2 linked regions of the Elephas maximus indicus genome follow. The protein of the gene in region 1 interacts with the protein of each later gene in a pairwise test. Links are inferred from orthologs where the notes say so. Each region holds a gene or a part of one and is shown in the gene's direction. Other genes may lie near its edges.

Region 1 (7,811 bases):
CCCTGCCTGGCTGAGTGAGGCAGACTCTCTCTCACCACATGGAGCACAGACCGACCCGGCAGCCCCTCCCCGCAGCTCTCACCGCCCCGGAGGCGGTGGGGCACAGTGTTCCCCACCCCAATCTGAGAGGGTCCGGACCACGTGGGGACCGCCCGTCCCGGCCCCCGCCCGCTCCCATCACCCTCTCCGGTCAACAAACACAAAAGCCGCGGCTGCGAACAAAGAAGCGCTGCAAACTCGTCGGTGAGGCGGGACAGCCCGCGCCGCGCCCCCTCCTCACGCCGGGCGGGCGTGCCCGGCCGCGGGGTCTCCGCAGCGCCCCGACGGCGCTCTCACCTGGCCGGCGCGGACCTCCTTCTCCAGCTCGCGGTAGCGGTTGTACCACACGAGGTAGTGCAGCGGGTACTTGCCCTCGGGCCCCTTTCTGGCGGAGGCGTTGGCGGGGATCATCGCCCGCTCCTCATGCCGGGGCCGCGGCGCCCGGCCCGGGAGGAGGGACGGCGCCGGAGCCGGGGCCCGGGGCCGCGGGGCGGGGGGCCGGCGCTGCTTGCTCGCAGGGCTGCGGCTCGGGCATGTGCGAGCGGCGCCGGCGGGCGGGGGCGGCGCGCCCGGCGCGGTGCGGGCGGCGGGCGTCCTCGCGAGGAGGCGCGGAGAGGCCCCCACCCGCCCGGAGAGGGAGCGGGCACTCGGCTGCGCGGCGCGGGCTCGCGCCTCGCCTCCCACACCCCCGCACACAAAGACGCCGCTCGGCGGAGGGAGCAGGCGCCCGCAGCGGGCGCGGGGGCGCACGGGGCGCCGGCCCCGGGGACGCCGCCGCCGCAGGGACGCGCGCCCGCAGCCCCCGGCTCCTCGCAGCCGCATAGCCCGGCCCTCAGCCCCAGCGGCCGGCGAGGGATGTGGGGATGCGAAGGAGAGAGGAGGGGGACCCGGGTACCCAGGGCAGAGCTTGTTGTAGCCCGGCCCCGCGGCATCATGGGGCTTGTAGTCTGCCTTGTGGAGTTGGGGGTGGCAGGGGACCAGGGAGGGTACCACACTGTCCTCCTGCTCCCAGGAAAGGGCTGGGGAGGAGCCAGGCCTGACAGAAACGGGAGCAGCGTCCTGACGCCAGGTGGGCTGGGGGCACCCCCACCCACTTGATTTTGCCCTTTGTTGGGGGTCGGAGGGGCTGCAGAGCTCCCTTGAACATTGAGGGAAGGGCGGTGTGTGGCCTTCAGGATTGAGCGTGGGTTCCAGGGACTGTGAGCATGAATCCAGATACCCAGAAGAGAGCGGCTGATGCAGGATCCCCGAGAAGGGTGCAGGGCATCTGTACTAAGGGTCATTGGGGCAGCCAGGGGTCTGGCACCTGAGATTTTTCTTAGGAATCCTCCCTGCCTTCTTAGAACATTCAACTCCATCTTGCACACTTGACATTGGAAAGAAAATGTCCACTCAGGTGAGATCACCCCCCCCAGCACTGTCCTCAACTACGACTAGAGTGGAGTTGAGCAGGGAAAGCAGCAGGTGGCAGCTCCCCACCCCACCCCATGGGGTCCCCTCAGGAGAGGAAGTAGCCGATTCCAGAGACTGTCTCCTCCCTGGGTGACCCCAGGGCAGAGAGGCCCTTCCAGAACCGGCCCAGCAGAGGGTGTGGTAAGTGTGGAATTGGCTTCTGGGGCTGCCTGTTGTCAGGGCTGGAAGGACCTGGAGGCTCGGCCCCAGGCCGGGAGAGGCGGGGCTGTGATGTCAGAAAGACCTGAGCTCTAATTCAGACTAACTCAAATTGCTTAATATTTCTGAGTTTACGAGGCCACTCACCTCTAAAATGAGCCTCTGGATACTACCTCCTTGGGTGAGCTAAGGATAGTAACTGCCCTCAAAACGGCGCCTCCCTCCGCCAACCAGGCCGACTGTGACAGGTGGCAGGACCAGGCACGGTGCCTTCTTGAGCCCACCTTAGAATAAGGCAGGAATGAGGGATTCCACGCCAGCCCCCCCCCCACCTTGAACAACAACAACCCAAGATGTGTTTGTGTGGGAGGTGCCAGCAAATGCTTGCAAACTCTCCGCGCCTCTCTCAGGTTTTTGTGTGCTCTCCTCTCCCTCCTCCACACCCTGCGGTGCCAGGCCCCGGCGGGAAGAGATGAGGGAGGAGCGCAGTGCCTCGCAGCTTCTCCAGCCTGGGAGGAGCCAGTTGGCGTCTCCGGCCGCCAGAGGCCGCGGCCCACCTCGGCCACAAGGGGTCAGCAGAGTGTCGTGGCGGCGGCCAGAGCTGGGGAGGGGGGCTAGGCCGCGGGGAGGGGCGGCCAGGAGTGGCTGTGAGGATTCTTGTACATTTCCTCATTAAATTGTTTTAAGAACCTTGTGTCTCATTTTCTTTTAGTTGCCCTGCTTCGGGTAGTGGTGACATAGGGAAATCCAGAAACTCTTTTCTCCCTTACCCCAATCCCAGAAACTCGGCTGTGCAGGGGCTCGGGGTTTCCGAAACAAAGTTTGGAGAGTGGATCGGTGCCTGGGCCACTCCCAGGTGGTCCCCGGGCCAACCTGGAGATGGGGCGGGAAGCGAGGTCAATCAGTCTACTTCCCTGGAGAGCCCTGGAGCCCAAGGAAGGGAATCAGCCGGGGGGGGGGGGCGGGGAGGGCCGCCCCCTGGGCAGCGGGCTCTCTTTTCTAGGCGATCGTGGACAGTAAACTGAGGCCGGCTTTCCCTCTGGCCTGCGCGCTCCGGCTGCCACGTGCTCGAAACGCACCCACACACCAGAGAAACAAAGCCCAGCGGCCCGGCTGCCAGGAGCCACCTCGACATTTAATAAATGAAATTTCTTAGCTGAGGGTCGATCGGGGGTGAAGCAGGGGGCCCCGCTCGTGGGCTGCGTGCCGGATCCAGGCGGCCAGGCAGCTCCTCCGGCCGCCTGACCTGGGACCACTCAGCCCGCGGACTCCTCCATGCCGACGCAGCATGGGGCGGCAGGTGGTGTCCCCTCCTGACACACTCCAGCCCCGCGAGGTATCTTTGCTTACAGAAAGCCCCGGCAGCTGAGCTGCTGGCAGGGGGGAGGAGAGGCCTGCAAGAAGGTTTTTTTAAGGTGCGATTATAAATATACCCGTGGATCGCGATTTCAAACAAACTTGTCAATCTGGGTTGCAGCGAAAGGCGATGGAGGCAGCTTTGCGTGTATTTCGGGTGGTGTGACTCATGAGCATTACTTGTCTCCCCCAGGGAAGCAGCCTGCCCACCCACAAGTCACTGCTGCTCGGGCACCGCTGGGAGAAATCGACCAACTCGGTCACGCCTGCTCAAAGGCTCCCTTCCCGTCCTGGTTACCGAGAACGCCCGGCCACTGGGGAAGCCCTCCCTTAACCTTGCCACCGCAGATCTGGTCCCCAAGTTTGGTCCTCCGCACCCCCGACCCTCTGCTCACAAGCCGAGGGCCTTGGCCTTGTGCCGCTGCAGGGCTGGGGGCTGGGTGCACGCGGGGCACACGTGTACCGGGGAGCATGCTCAGTGCGGGGTTGCGCCCACGTGCGGCCTGCGCCTCGGCTCCCTGTCCCCCGCCTCCCCCCTCGGGCCTGCCTGCCATGTCTCGGTGACAAGTATGGGAAGAAAGACCGTCACAAGAAACGGTCCGTGTATGTTGTACGCACACACCCTAGACGCATTTGTGATGGAGGTATACACGACGGGTGACAAGGGGCTATTCCGCACACAAGGCACAGTGGTCACCTCCTGGGAGGTCTTTAAAAGCATCCCAATTCATTCCTTTCCGGGTGAAAGCACGGAGGGAGTGATAAAGGTATTTTTAGCCCGGAGGCAGGGGGATACACTGCTTGACCTCTCTTGCACCTGGGCGTCCATATTGTTGGCGGGGGGAGGGGGTGGTGCACTCAGCAAGAGTATGACCACACATACACACTGGCACACTGGCGTGGGCACATGGGGGCCAGCAAGACGCACACCTCACCCCAACCTGAGAGGAGCGGGTACGCCAAGCCACAGCTCTTTGACCGGGAGGGGGCATCGGCCTCCAGGCCTTCCCTCTTCCCTGGCCCCTAACCTAACCCAGCTCACCGTCCCTAGGCCACCCTCCGCCCAAAAGCGTAGGGAATGCGGCTGCGAGGTTGACTCACACCGACTGCCTCTGGGCCTGGGGGCCGCCGGAGCAGATGCGGGGGCCGCAGGCGAGGCCGAGGGACCGCGGCCCCTTTAAGCGGCCCCGCCCGCTGCCGCCCGCGCTCCCGGCTTCCTTTCTCCGGGAGGCGCGGCGGGGCGGGCGGGGTGGGCTGCCCCTCCCCCGGTGGGCAGGGCCTGCGCCGCTTCCTGCAGGAGCGGCCCGGAGCCGCGTAGGGGGCGGAGAGAGCGAGCGGCGAGCGGCGGCGGGGCGGCGCGGGGCGGCGCGGGGCGGAGGGCGCCCGAGGGCGAGCGGGCGGGCACCGCGGGTTCCGGGCCGGCCCCAGCGGCGAACGGTTGGCCGGGCGCGCGGAGCCTAGCCGGGGCCTTGCGGGAGCCGGGCCAGGCAGCAGGGGCCACCGCCGCCGCCCGGGCCCGCCGCCCGCGCCCCCCACGCTGGCCCAGAGGGCTGCGGCCGCCTCGCCGCTGAGGATGTCCCGGAAGGGGCCACGAGCGGAGGTGTGTGCGGACTGCAGCGCACTGGGTAAGCGGACCGGGGGCGGGACCGCGCACAGAGGCCGCCGCCGGGCGGGCGCCGGGGCCTGGCGGGAGCGTCATGCGGGGCCGGAGGGTGGGGCGGGGGGCTGCGGCCTCTGGCCTCGTCCCCGCCCGGGCCACTGCGGAGCCGCGTCTTTGGCAGGTGGGCCGGCCTGGGGGCCCCCTGTCCCCTCGCGTCCGTGGACAATCGGGGAAGGACGTTCCCGGCGCCTCCTCCCACCCCTCAGCCTGAGGGAGGCGGGCAGCTAGCTGTCCCCCCCCCCACACCTCCATCTCAGTATCCAAACGGAAGCTCCAGCCTGGGGTGGCAGGAGGGCTGTGGCGAAGGCCCGGAGGATTTCGAAGGTGAGGGCGAGGGTGGTTTGTGTCATCTCAGTGCCACCCCCGCGCCTTGCACCTGCTGCTCGCATGGTCTGCGCTCCCGCCGGGGTGGCGAGGGCAAGGGGCAGAGAGCTGGGTTGATGTGCGGTGGGGCCCTGGTACTGTTTCCTCAGGAACAGATGAGGGGTGGTTACTCCTAGGGCTCCCTGCCTCTGGCTCCTAAGGCTGGGGCCCCCTGTAAGGCCTGGTGTTCAGGGTCAGTACGAGCCTGGGCATCTTCCCTGGAGACATCGTAGGTCTGCTGGTGACTGGAAACAGCTGGACTCGGCTTTTCCTGCTCACCAGTGAGGCCTACTTGGGAAGGTGGGCTTGGAACTGTCCCGGCCTGGGCACAGACCCCTCCCAGCCCCCTAGTCAGGATCTGACCAGGATCAGGTAGGGGGCAGTGGCAAGGGGTGCCAAATTCCCAGAATCAGGTTGGCTTCCTGGCCTGCTTCCTGGCTGTGTATACTGAGGTGTTTCCCTTCCCAGCAGAGTTGGGTTCTGGCTAGTGTGAACCCCCCTGGCCTCCTGAGGAAGTGAGGGGCAGTGACCTCAGAAGCTGCTCCTTTCTGATGTGCTTGTGCTGGAGCTCAGCAGCTAGCCCGGGGAAGGAAGCCCTGACACTTGTCCGTTCTCTTTAGAAAAGGAGCTGTCTTCCTGAGAAGACTCAGGAGTCTCTGAACTCCAGGGTGACAGCAGGCACAATTCAGGGTGTGGGTGTGAGATGATGTTCTGTGTGCTCGTAACTTCCAGCCACCCCTTGGGTGGGACCCCAACAGGTTGAGCCCCACAGATGTTCTGGTGGTTCCCGTTGCACCAAGCTAGAGTGTTTAGAAATGGTGCATGCCTGTCAGGGCACAGGCATGAGGGCTTTGTGGGTGCTTATGACCCTGAGGCCTCCTCTGGGGGAATGTAATAGTCTGGAGGGCCCTGGAGGAGCTATCGGGTAGGGTGCCATTGCCCTTTTTTGACTGAAAACTATAACCCCTTCCCCCCAGCTGCGGGCAGATTGAGGGATGGAAGGGCTAAGAGGAGAGCTTGTCTTTTGTTTGTCCCAGGCTATTTGCCATCTCTACTGGGTGGGCATAGTGTGGGGCACCAAGAAGCACTGTGGGGAGCTTAGTGGTGACCCTTAAGGGGAGCCTGGATTTTAGAGTTGCCTTTGTTTCCAGCTTACTCTGTAACCCTTGACTAGACTTCCGTCACTCTGGGCCTCAGTTTCTTCAGCTGTAAGGCAAAGAAATTTGACTAGAAATAGTTTTTGAGGGTCCTCCCATCTCCAGAAATTTCTCAACAGGATGGATCAACACAATAATCTTAGTAATGGGCTCAAACACATGAAAGATCATGGAGATGATTCAGGACTGAGCAACTTTTTTTTCTGCCGTGCGTAACGTTGCCACGAGTAGGAGCCAACTCAGTGGCAACTAATAACAACCCATCTCCAAGTCTGCGGTCCTGACCCTGGGGCAGAGGGACGGAGGGCAGCGTCAGCAATGCAGTTGTCCTTTCTCCATTGCATCTGAGTACTTGCCTGAAGTCTCTGGGTGCCCAGTAGGCTGGGGAGGAGTGGTGGGAAGCTGGTGTGTCCTCAGTCCTTGTCCCTGACAGAAATATTTGTGCCCCAGGTACCTCCTTTCCCCCTGAACCAGAATATAGGTCAGGAAGAGGCAGGTGATGAGAAAGTGAGGATGGTGAGGTGGGCAGAGTGCTGCCAGTCTTACCACCGCACCTTGGCACCTACTATGGTGTCTGGCACATAGCAGGCACTCCCCAGGTGTTTGGATGCTTGTCAGGACCCGGGCTGGCTGCTTGGGACTATCCCGTACTCCCACTGTACAACATTAGTCCTGGCATGGAGGGTATTCTCCAGGTACCATAGCAGCCCAGGTAAGAGCTAAGGATACCCGGCAATCTGGAGTCCAGGCCCAGGGCCAAGCCTTGGTTGTGCACTTCCCGCCCAGGGTCACAGACTCATCAATGTGATAGGAGTCCTGCAGTCCAGCCTGGGAGTGGGGTGGTAGTCTTTTTGTGGTTGGCTAATTTTAGGGGGCATGGAGGTGAAAGATGAGGTACAGCCTAAAGGACCTGTCCTTCCTCTGCTTTCAGTTCTGGGCACAGGGGACCAGCGTGAATATGTGGCAAAGCAGCTGAACATGGCATGGCTGCTCTCTTGCCAGGCACATCCCTGCCTGCCCTTGAGACTCCGCAAGAGGGGCAGGGGTTGGGAAGTGTTCCCCATTCCTCCTCCTCCACCTACTGTGCCACACAGCCCCAGCCCGGCTCTCAGGGGCCTACTCCTGACCCATGGGCCAATCATCTTGACCTTTCCACTATGGCAGCCCTGGACACAGAGATGAAGATGCCCATTCTATGGGCACCTCGAGTGAGCAAGGCTGGCCACCAGCTGGTGACATGTTACGGGACAACCTGCAGGCTCAGTTGTCTCTTAACAACACAGATGGAGGAATGGGGTGAATTGTGGGCTTTTTTCCCTTTTCTACCGAGCGGTAACGTGTATATGGTAAAATGCCTGCGCTGTACGTGTTCAGCCTGATGTATGTTTGTTGGTGCGTGTGTATGCCGGTGTAATCACCACTCTAATCAAGACACAGAGCATATTCAGGACTCCAGTTCCTCGTGTCTTCCTCCAGCAGTGCCCCCTCAAAGTAACAGCCATACTGGCGTCTCTCCACATGGATTACTCCTGCCTGTTTTCCAGATGGTGGGCTTTTCCCACTTCTCTAGTGAGGATCTGGGCCTGGGCGCAGTAGAGCAAAAGTGAGGGAGGCTGAGGCTGGCC
Region 2 (8,201 bases), on another chromosome or scaffold:
CTGCCCCACCAGGTTTTCCTTATCCCTTGTAGTCTCCTCCATACCATAGTATGTCATGCCTCTGTGCTTAGACCACCACCTAACTTCTACTCATTCTTCAGAATTCCATATAAGCATCTCCTCCTCCAGGAAGCCCTCCCTGACCCCTAGTCTGGGCTGGTACCATGTCTTGTTTGTCTCTGTACTTCTACCTCCCAGTACATTGTCCAGCACATAGTAGGAATTCAGTAAATACCTAGTCAATGGTAAAAAAAAAAAAAAAATGAAGTACAAATCAATCTGATAAAAGATGAGGTTTTAAGACAGGGAATAGAGAGCCCCCCAAATCTGCAAACAAAGTAACAAGAAATGGGCCAGGGTGCAGAAACAAAGCCATTCCCCAGAACAATGGGGCAGGGTATCAGAAAATAGCCCATAAACCTTAAAGTAGTCTTTCAGAAGCAGCTGGAGAAAACCAGCCCCAGGGACATGTGCAGAACATCCACCTGTGACCACTGTGTGACCTTCCACCAGGGGCAGTGAAGGGCTGCAGTGGCAGCCAGGAGACTGCGCAGGCGCGGCGCCCCATAGTAAGTCCTGCTACGAATCCCAGAGGCCTCCAGGGCAGCAGCCACCTTGGAAAGTTGCTGCCCGCGCGCTGTAGTTAACATAACCCTGGGTATGCCTGTGAATAAACATAAATCTTTTCCCGCCCAAGAACTTTTAAAAACCCCGGGCGGATCTTTTGTTCTGTGAGATGGGGATATGGGTTGCTTAGGCCCGCCTGTCTTCTACTTGCAAGCCTCTTCAATAAAGCTTTGCTCCTGTGGAAAACTCTACGTGCCTCACAGAGACGGAAGAGATCAGGCTGGCTGAATTAAATGAGGGGTACGTTTCAAGGCCCTGTGTGGTGCTCGACCAGCTATAATTAAATCTAAACCTAAGTGCAGACTACCAGATAACTTCTATTGCTGGCACCCAAGAACTACTTGTGATTAACAAACTAGGTGCTTAGACAAGATAAGGGGCTACATTTCAAGCCCCTGTGTTCTTGACCAGCTATAAATTACTGATAATTCTCCTCAGTTGTTTTTCAAGGCCTCACTAGGTGCAGCGCATGCATGGTAAAGATCGGCGTGGGCTATGAATGACCTTCCACGTAAGACAAACACGAACAAAGACCACTCGCTGGGGCTCGAACCAAGATCCAGGGGCATCATGCATGCACGACATCCCAGAATAAGTCCTGTTCGACATCCCAACAGCCTTTGTGACAGCCTCCATCTTGGTTCCAGCAACCTCTGTCAGGAAGTCCATCTTGAATTCTAACTGCGTGCGCATTTGATTTTCATAATCCCTCCCCTTCTCCTGGAAATCTCCACTCATTTAATGAATAAAAGTAATGCCTTTTCCCCTCCTAAGAACTTTTATAAGTCCTAGGAAATCGTTTGTTCAGTGAGAGACTGGAGGCTAGTGTAGGTGGAAACCCCTCTCCTTCTCTCTCCTTCATGAGCCTTTTACTTTCTTTCTGTCCCTAATAAACTTTTTTCATGTGGAACCTCTGAGGCTCTCCTGGTCATTCTTGCTCAGAAGAAGGTAAGAACCTAGGCAGGGCTTAGTCCTGGGCTGGGAAGCCTTGCCCTGTAACATTACCTGCTCATTCTTGACCAGAGAGGCAAGAACCTTATTCTGGTAACAGTTTTTCTTCAGCTGCATGGAGTTAAACCACAAAATCCAAAGTTCCCAGGCCTCTGTTTTAAGGAAATAAATCCAAACAAGAAGGTCCCCAGCAGGACCAGCAACTAATTTGCGGGGCCCACTGCTAAATGGAAATGAAATGCCCTTGTTAAAAAATGATTGAGAATTTCAAGATGGCAACAGCAAAGCATTAAACCAAGCTTAAAGTTCTTCTGAGCATGAGACCCAGTTTAATTGCCTAGGTTACATGCCCATGTTTAATTAAGAGTAAAATTCCAGGGCCGCGTCAGGACCAGAGCAACCCCAGTGCCTTCTGGCCTTGCTGAACCTGAAGCTTAGAAATCAGGACAGGCAAAAAGTGGCTTACCCTTGGCTGCCAGCCAGTGGTGCTGGTGCCCAGAGACTTTCCAGAAGTGGGCTGGCAGCTTGACAGGCTGGGGCAAAGGTCTTGCCTTTTGAAGCCTGATATGGATTGAATTGTGTTCCCCAAAATATGTGTTGTAAATCCTAACCCCTACTTTGATTATAATCCCATTTGCGGATGAGTTCTTTGTTATGTTAACAAAACTAGATTATTGTAGGGTGTGTCTTGAGTCAATCTCTTTTCAGATATAAAAGAGATTAAACAAGTGAACAAGCAGAGATGTAGGAAGACAGATGCCAAGCCACATGAAGATTGCCCAGGAGTAAAAGCTGAAAAGAGTCAGGGAACTTCTCCCAGAGCTGACAGAGAAGGAAGTTCTCCTAGAGCCGGCACCCTGAATTTGAACTTCTAGTCTCCTAACTGTGAGAAAATAAATTTTTGTTTGTTAAAGCCATCCACTTGTATTTCTGTTGTAGCAGCACTAGGTAACTAAGACAAGGCCCCAAGCAGCCCACGACCCACAACCCAGAGACATGAGGGGAGAGATTAGCTACTGGCTGGTGCACCCTATCATGATTCAGCACTTTCTGTGTGACTTTGTATCTGACAAAGGACTTCAGTGGCATACACTCATGATAACAGTGGGAGCCCTTGACTGGGGTTGTGCGAGTGGCAGGCATAAGCTAAGCCCCACATTATCTCATTTGAACTCTCACAGCAACTGCTCCTTCAATCACTGCCATTCAGCTTAATTCAATTTTATGTGGCCAGAGTAGGGAAAAGAGGGAAGTGCAGAATGTACTTCCTTTTCTTAAAATCTATTTTTTTATAGCCAAGTAATACATAACGCATTTATGCATTCTCATTAAAAAATTTAAATGGTATATGTAAAGCAAAAGTGGACTTTGACCTCTCTGTCATTTTAGTGTGTAAACGTTCTGGGGTTTTTGGATGTATTTATATACCTACACATGAACATGTAGAAATATATAATAATTTCATAGACTCAAAAGAGAGAGAGAGAGATCAACCTGTTTTACTGTGCTAGTGCTGCCCCGAGTGGGTGGCTTTAAAGAACAGAAATTTATTGTCTCACAGTTTTGGAGGCTAGAAGCCTAAATCAGAACATTGGATTTAGGGGAGGGTCTTTCCTTGTGGGTAATCCCAGGCATTTCTTGGCTGATTGTAAATGTGTCTGTCTTCCCTTTCTGTGTATCTCTGTGTCCCCTCTGCTTTTTATAAGACACCACTCAGAAGGGATCTGGTATGACCTCATTAAAAACAAAAGAAAGCCTCTATTTCTAAACAGGATCATGTTTCAAGTATAGGGGTTAGTGTGGAAGATGTTTCTTTTGGGGAGGACACAATTCAATCCATATCAATACTGAGTGTATTTTCCAAAAAAATTTATTGAAAACTTGTAAGTACAGTATAGAGAAAAGTGGAAAGAGCTGTGCAGCGAGCACCTGTATACCTACCACTTACATTTTTTTAATTTTTAAAATTTTGCTATATTTGTTTTATCAGATATCTTTTTCCATCTAACCATCTATCAACCATCTAATCTTTTGATGCATTTCCAAGTAAGTTGCAGGCGCTAGTACTCTTTGCCCTTAAAAACTTTATCATTCACATCATTAACTAGTGTTCAATAATTTTTTAGTTTAATTTATGTGCTGTGGAATCTATTGAATGTATTTTCCTACGACTTTTTTTTTCCTTCCTCTTTTCTACTTTATGTTTGAAGAGTTTTCCATGTCCTCACTACGTGAGGTCTGCCCCCCCTCTTTAAATTGTGGCACAACTTATTTGTTGAATGGATGACCACTGCCAACTCTCTCATCCTTTTTTGATGGACATTTAGGTTGTTCCAAAATTTTCATAAAAATGGAGTCTCTTATTATGTTTTGTAATGACCCTTCTTTGTTACTTTCTTGGAGTTCTTGCAAGTATTCCTCTAGGATAGCTGCCTAGAAGCGGGTCAAAGAGTGTGCACATTCTAAATTTTAACAGATCTTGTCAAATTGTTCTCTCCATCTCCAATAACTCCTACGAACAGCATGTAGGAGGTTTGCCAAAGCTGAATATTGCATCTTTTAATCTGTATGCTGACTGATGGTTAAGGAAATAAGTGGAAGTCAGTATGGCTGGAGCAGAAAGGGCAGGTGGAGGGAAGGTCAGGTGAGTCTGAAGAGGTGGTGGCATGGTCTAGCCAGGGGGAGGAGAACTGTAGACCATGGCTGGGATTTTGACCTTTGTCCTAAGAGCGATGGGGAACTGTGGAAGGGTTTTAGCAAGAGGGGAGGAGTAATGCTCTGATTTTGACTTTTAAAAGATCACCTTGGTTGCTGTTTGGAGAATGAGGCAAGGCCGACGCTGGGAGACCAGATAGAAGGCTGGTGGCAGAGGAGATGTAGAGAAGCGTGCAGAGTCGAGGAATACGTTTGCAGCAGGGCCGCATAGAACTGAAGGATTGAACTGGCAAAAGGAAAAGAGGATGGTGTTTAAGGTTGACGACTCGATTTCTTGCATAACTGGATGGATCTAATAGCATTAAATGAGATTGGGCAAGCAAAGCGCGTAGCCCAGAGGCGTCTTCATAAACATTTGCTCTTATTAATAATGTTAGCATTCTTTCTGAAGCATCCCTATTTCCACAGCCAAACCAGGGCTGCGTGTCCGGTTCCTGGCAAACGGCCCCTCAGGGGGCGTATCCTTCCCACGCCCCGCCCCACGCAGCACAGGCTCCACAGACCCCGCCCCCACGCGCTGCGTGTACACGTCCGACCGCCCCCAAGCTCGCGCTCTCGGCTTCGGCGGCGGTGCCACTGACGGACCGGCGCAGTGCACCCGTGGCTGGTGAGTGGCTCACGTCCTCCAAGGCCTTCCTCCCGGGCTCATCCGGCCGCGTTACCCCCACGGCGGGCCCTGACCTCCGCCCGGGTACTGCCCTCCGCTGCGTTCCTGGTGCGGCGCCGGGGTTCGGGGGCAACCAACGGCGAGAGAAGGGCCGGCCCGGGGCGCTGCGGGGTGGGGGGCAGCCGGAAGCGGGGTGACGCTGGGGACGGGGCCAAGGAGTGGAACCGGGGGACAGGGACGGGCGTGGGGAAAGTGACAGGTAAGGGTGAAAGCTGGAGACGCCGCTTTCAAGAGGATATTTCAGCAGGGAGGTAGGAAGGCCTGATGGGCTCATTTGGGCCCACTCCCTCCCAATATCACGAGGGTGCTTGGTGAGGTGACCCCGTGGGTCGCAGCTTCGGGCCGGCTGTAAAATTGGCGCTGCAGCTTCTGACCGCCAGCCTGGCTTGGTCCATCGGTTTTTGGGCCTGGGAGGACCGGACCCTCGCGCACGTCGGAGATTGGTGCCCGGCGTGGGGCCTTGTGCTGACCATTGGCATTCCCTGGGGGGGGTAAGCCCTTTTACTGACTCACAGTCGGAAGTGGTGCCCTTTGAATCACTATCATGACTTCTACGCGATTGAGAGGGATCAGCTCTAGGGGCAGCTGGTTAATCTGGACGAGGAGTTTACCTGTCACGTCAGAAGCACAGGTGTAATAATTTCCTTGTAGAAGCTGCCAGGACTGCCTTGCACAGTCTTTGCACAAGACCTGTGTGTTTCAGGCCATTTGAAATGATTCTAATGAACTAGTTATTTTGGTCTGTGGCTGTGTATCCTCACTGTGGTGTCTTGATACCTAAACCAGACAATGTGGAGTGTGATTAAAAAAGGCAGTGTTATAGTGCCCTATAGTTTATGACGCTTTCTCAAAGATTTTCATTGGCCCCTTTCAACAACCCTGGGAGTTTTTCCACTTGTGAAATGAAAGTTATGATGAGATTCAGATTATGTGACTTAACCTAGATCCCACAACCAAGAGATTGGCCCAGATGTTCTTGAACCTGGTCATCTGCCTCCAGATTTGGTGCTCTTTCTTTAAATATGATTGTTAAGATTGGAAGTGGATTATGTTATTTAAGCGATTTTACCCCTCCTGCTAAACTGTCCTCTCCAGTAAAAGGAAACATTAGCTTACTGTTTTGTGTATTTTAATTTCTGGTATGGCTTTACCCTGTGTTTGTGTCTATGTGTGTGTGTTTGTTTGATAATTTTAACTCCCTTATAACAATTTCCATTTCTCCTTCTGTGGGATAGGGGTAGGGGAAGATAAGGAGTATGTTAGGAAGTCTGTGGTTTGTTGATGAGATTTTTTCCAAGAAGCATCATAAGATATAATCTTTGGTTACCAGGAGTTCACAGTTCTTAAGGGCATTTACAAGTTTATCTAGTGAAACTGGAAAGAGTTTTAAAAAATAGTACCTAAGCTAAAAAACTGGTGAGGGTATGGGAATTCAAAGGACCTTGGAAATACACAGTCATTAAATGAATGAGCTCATTAACCGGGGATGTGAAGATGGAAATCCTGTGGTTCCCCATTGTCCACTTGATTTCCTTTGCTTGCTCAATAAAGAGATGCTGTGAGTTCCCAGTGTCAGGAATATGAGCTACTGTAGAAGTGACTATGCCAACAAGAAAATGAATTATAGAAAGTAAAGTGCTTATTACCTTTAGCTTACCCCTCAAGCCCATTGAAGAATTGCAGAACTGGACAGCTAGGACCTTTGGGCTACCGCTGATATATATATATTTTTTAATAATTTTTATTGTGCTTTAAGTGAAAGTTTACAAATCAATGATTTTTTTTTTTTTGGTTTACTTTTAAAAGCTCACTTTTTGTAGGACTGTTGGGCTCTGTATCAGGATTGCACCAAATATTGGAATAGCATTCCTCTACAAGTAAGATCTTTTTGGAAATTGGAATTGTATGTTTTGGTGTAAAATTTAGAATTCAGATTGTAACTTCTGGGAGAGAAAACAGAGGAAAACTTGAACTGCAGATTATCTCCTTGTATATTATTGGCCATTGAAACCAAAAACCAAACCTTTTGCTGTCGAGTCGATTCTGACTCATAGCGACCCTATTCGATAGAATAGAACTGTCCCACAGGGTTTTCAGGGAGTACCTGGTGGATTTGAACTGCGGACCTTTTGGTTAGCAGCCCTAGCTCTTAACCACTGCGCCACCAGAGTTTCCGTTATTGGCCATAGTTAACTCAAAAGTTATAGACACCTTTTTTCTGTTATTCTGTGTTTAACACAGTGAAGATTATCTGCTTTTAAACTTAGCTTATTTATGATATCTAGTAGCTTTGTTTTGTGCAGAACCATAGGATAAAAGCTCTGTTTCTTTTGTTGTAATCTGAGTAATTTCTCAGGATATTTTTGCACTGCTGGGAAACAGTGCCATTACCCATTAATTTTTGCCAGCAACAAGTGAGAGATGAATCTTTAATTGGAATTGTTGAGATAACTGCTTGTATAGAGGTCTTCCCTTTTTTTGTACTGGAAGGCATTTCATTTTGGTGATCACTCTGATAGTAATATTGTCCACTGTACAGTTTACTTTTCTAAATCAACTCCACATATTTATTGTAAGGTGTTGTCTTCCATTTTGTGACACTTTTTAAAGTCAGCTAATAAAGGCAGCTGAGTCAATCAGAAGTTTTCTTATAAAATTTCTAATAAATTTGACACAAGTACTGAAATACGGCAGCCCGTAACTGATGGGCTGGTCTAACAATGTTAAATGTATTTACAGAATATGCAGTGACATTTATTAATGTATTTTGCAAGAAATCTTTTCTGAACCATCAGTGTGTTTTAGTTAGAGAACAGTAATGCTGTTGGAGTTTGTCATAAATAGTTTAAAGCGTACAGCTATTGTAAAGTGGATTCATTTACAAACAGCCCGTCAAAAGACTATCTAAAGTGTGATCATGGCCTACTGAAGAGGAGATGGGAACTCTTTCTGGGTCTTCATGTCAACCACATCTGTATTCAGATCCTCCTCACTCAGCAATGTTCTGCACTGTTAACTAGGTAGTTCAAATCAGGAATTAAATTCTGTAGGCTTTTCTCAGCAAATAGGTTTCAGTGTCGTTTTGATATAATTCTAGAAGACTTTTAGCGAACATGCATTTGTTTATATGATACATTTTAGGCAAGTATTTTAAAAGTAAGCTAAGTGCTGTCTAGTCTGCTTATGGAGTAGGGATTGGGTCAGATTTTTAAAAATTTTTCTTGAGTATCTGACTTTAGAG

The links. The genes of interacting proteins can lie anywhere in the genome.
Region 2: the proteins of GIT1 (region 1) and HMOX2 interact in a two-hybrid assay, tested with the Homo sapiens proteins (2 studies listed by BioGRID and IntAct). The link is inferred for Elephas maximus indicus from reciprocal best matches to the Homo sapiens genes GIT1 and HMOX2.

The regions. Positions count from the first base shown.
Region 1 is NC_064837.1:22,374,524-22,382,334, forward strand, and holds the start of GIT1 (ARF GTPase-activating protein GIT1), read left to right. Parts: upstream 1-4,370; 5' UTR 4,371-4,579; coding exon 4,580-4,631; intron 4,632-7,811. Other genes in the region: ANKRD13B (ankyrin repeat domain-containing protein 13B), read right to left, coding at 337-450. UniProt on the Homo sapiens protein: GTPase-activating protein for ADP ribosylation factor family members, including ARF1.
Region 2 is NC_064830.1:62,538,588-62,546,788, forward strand, and holds the start of HMOX2 (heme oxygenase 2), read left to right. Parts: upstream 1-4,838; 5' UTR 4,839-4,900; intron 4,901-4,959; exon of another isoform or gene 4,960-4,984; intron 4,985-8,201.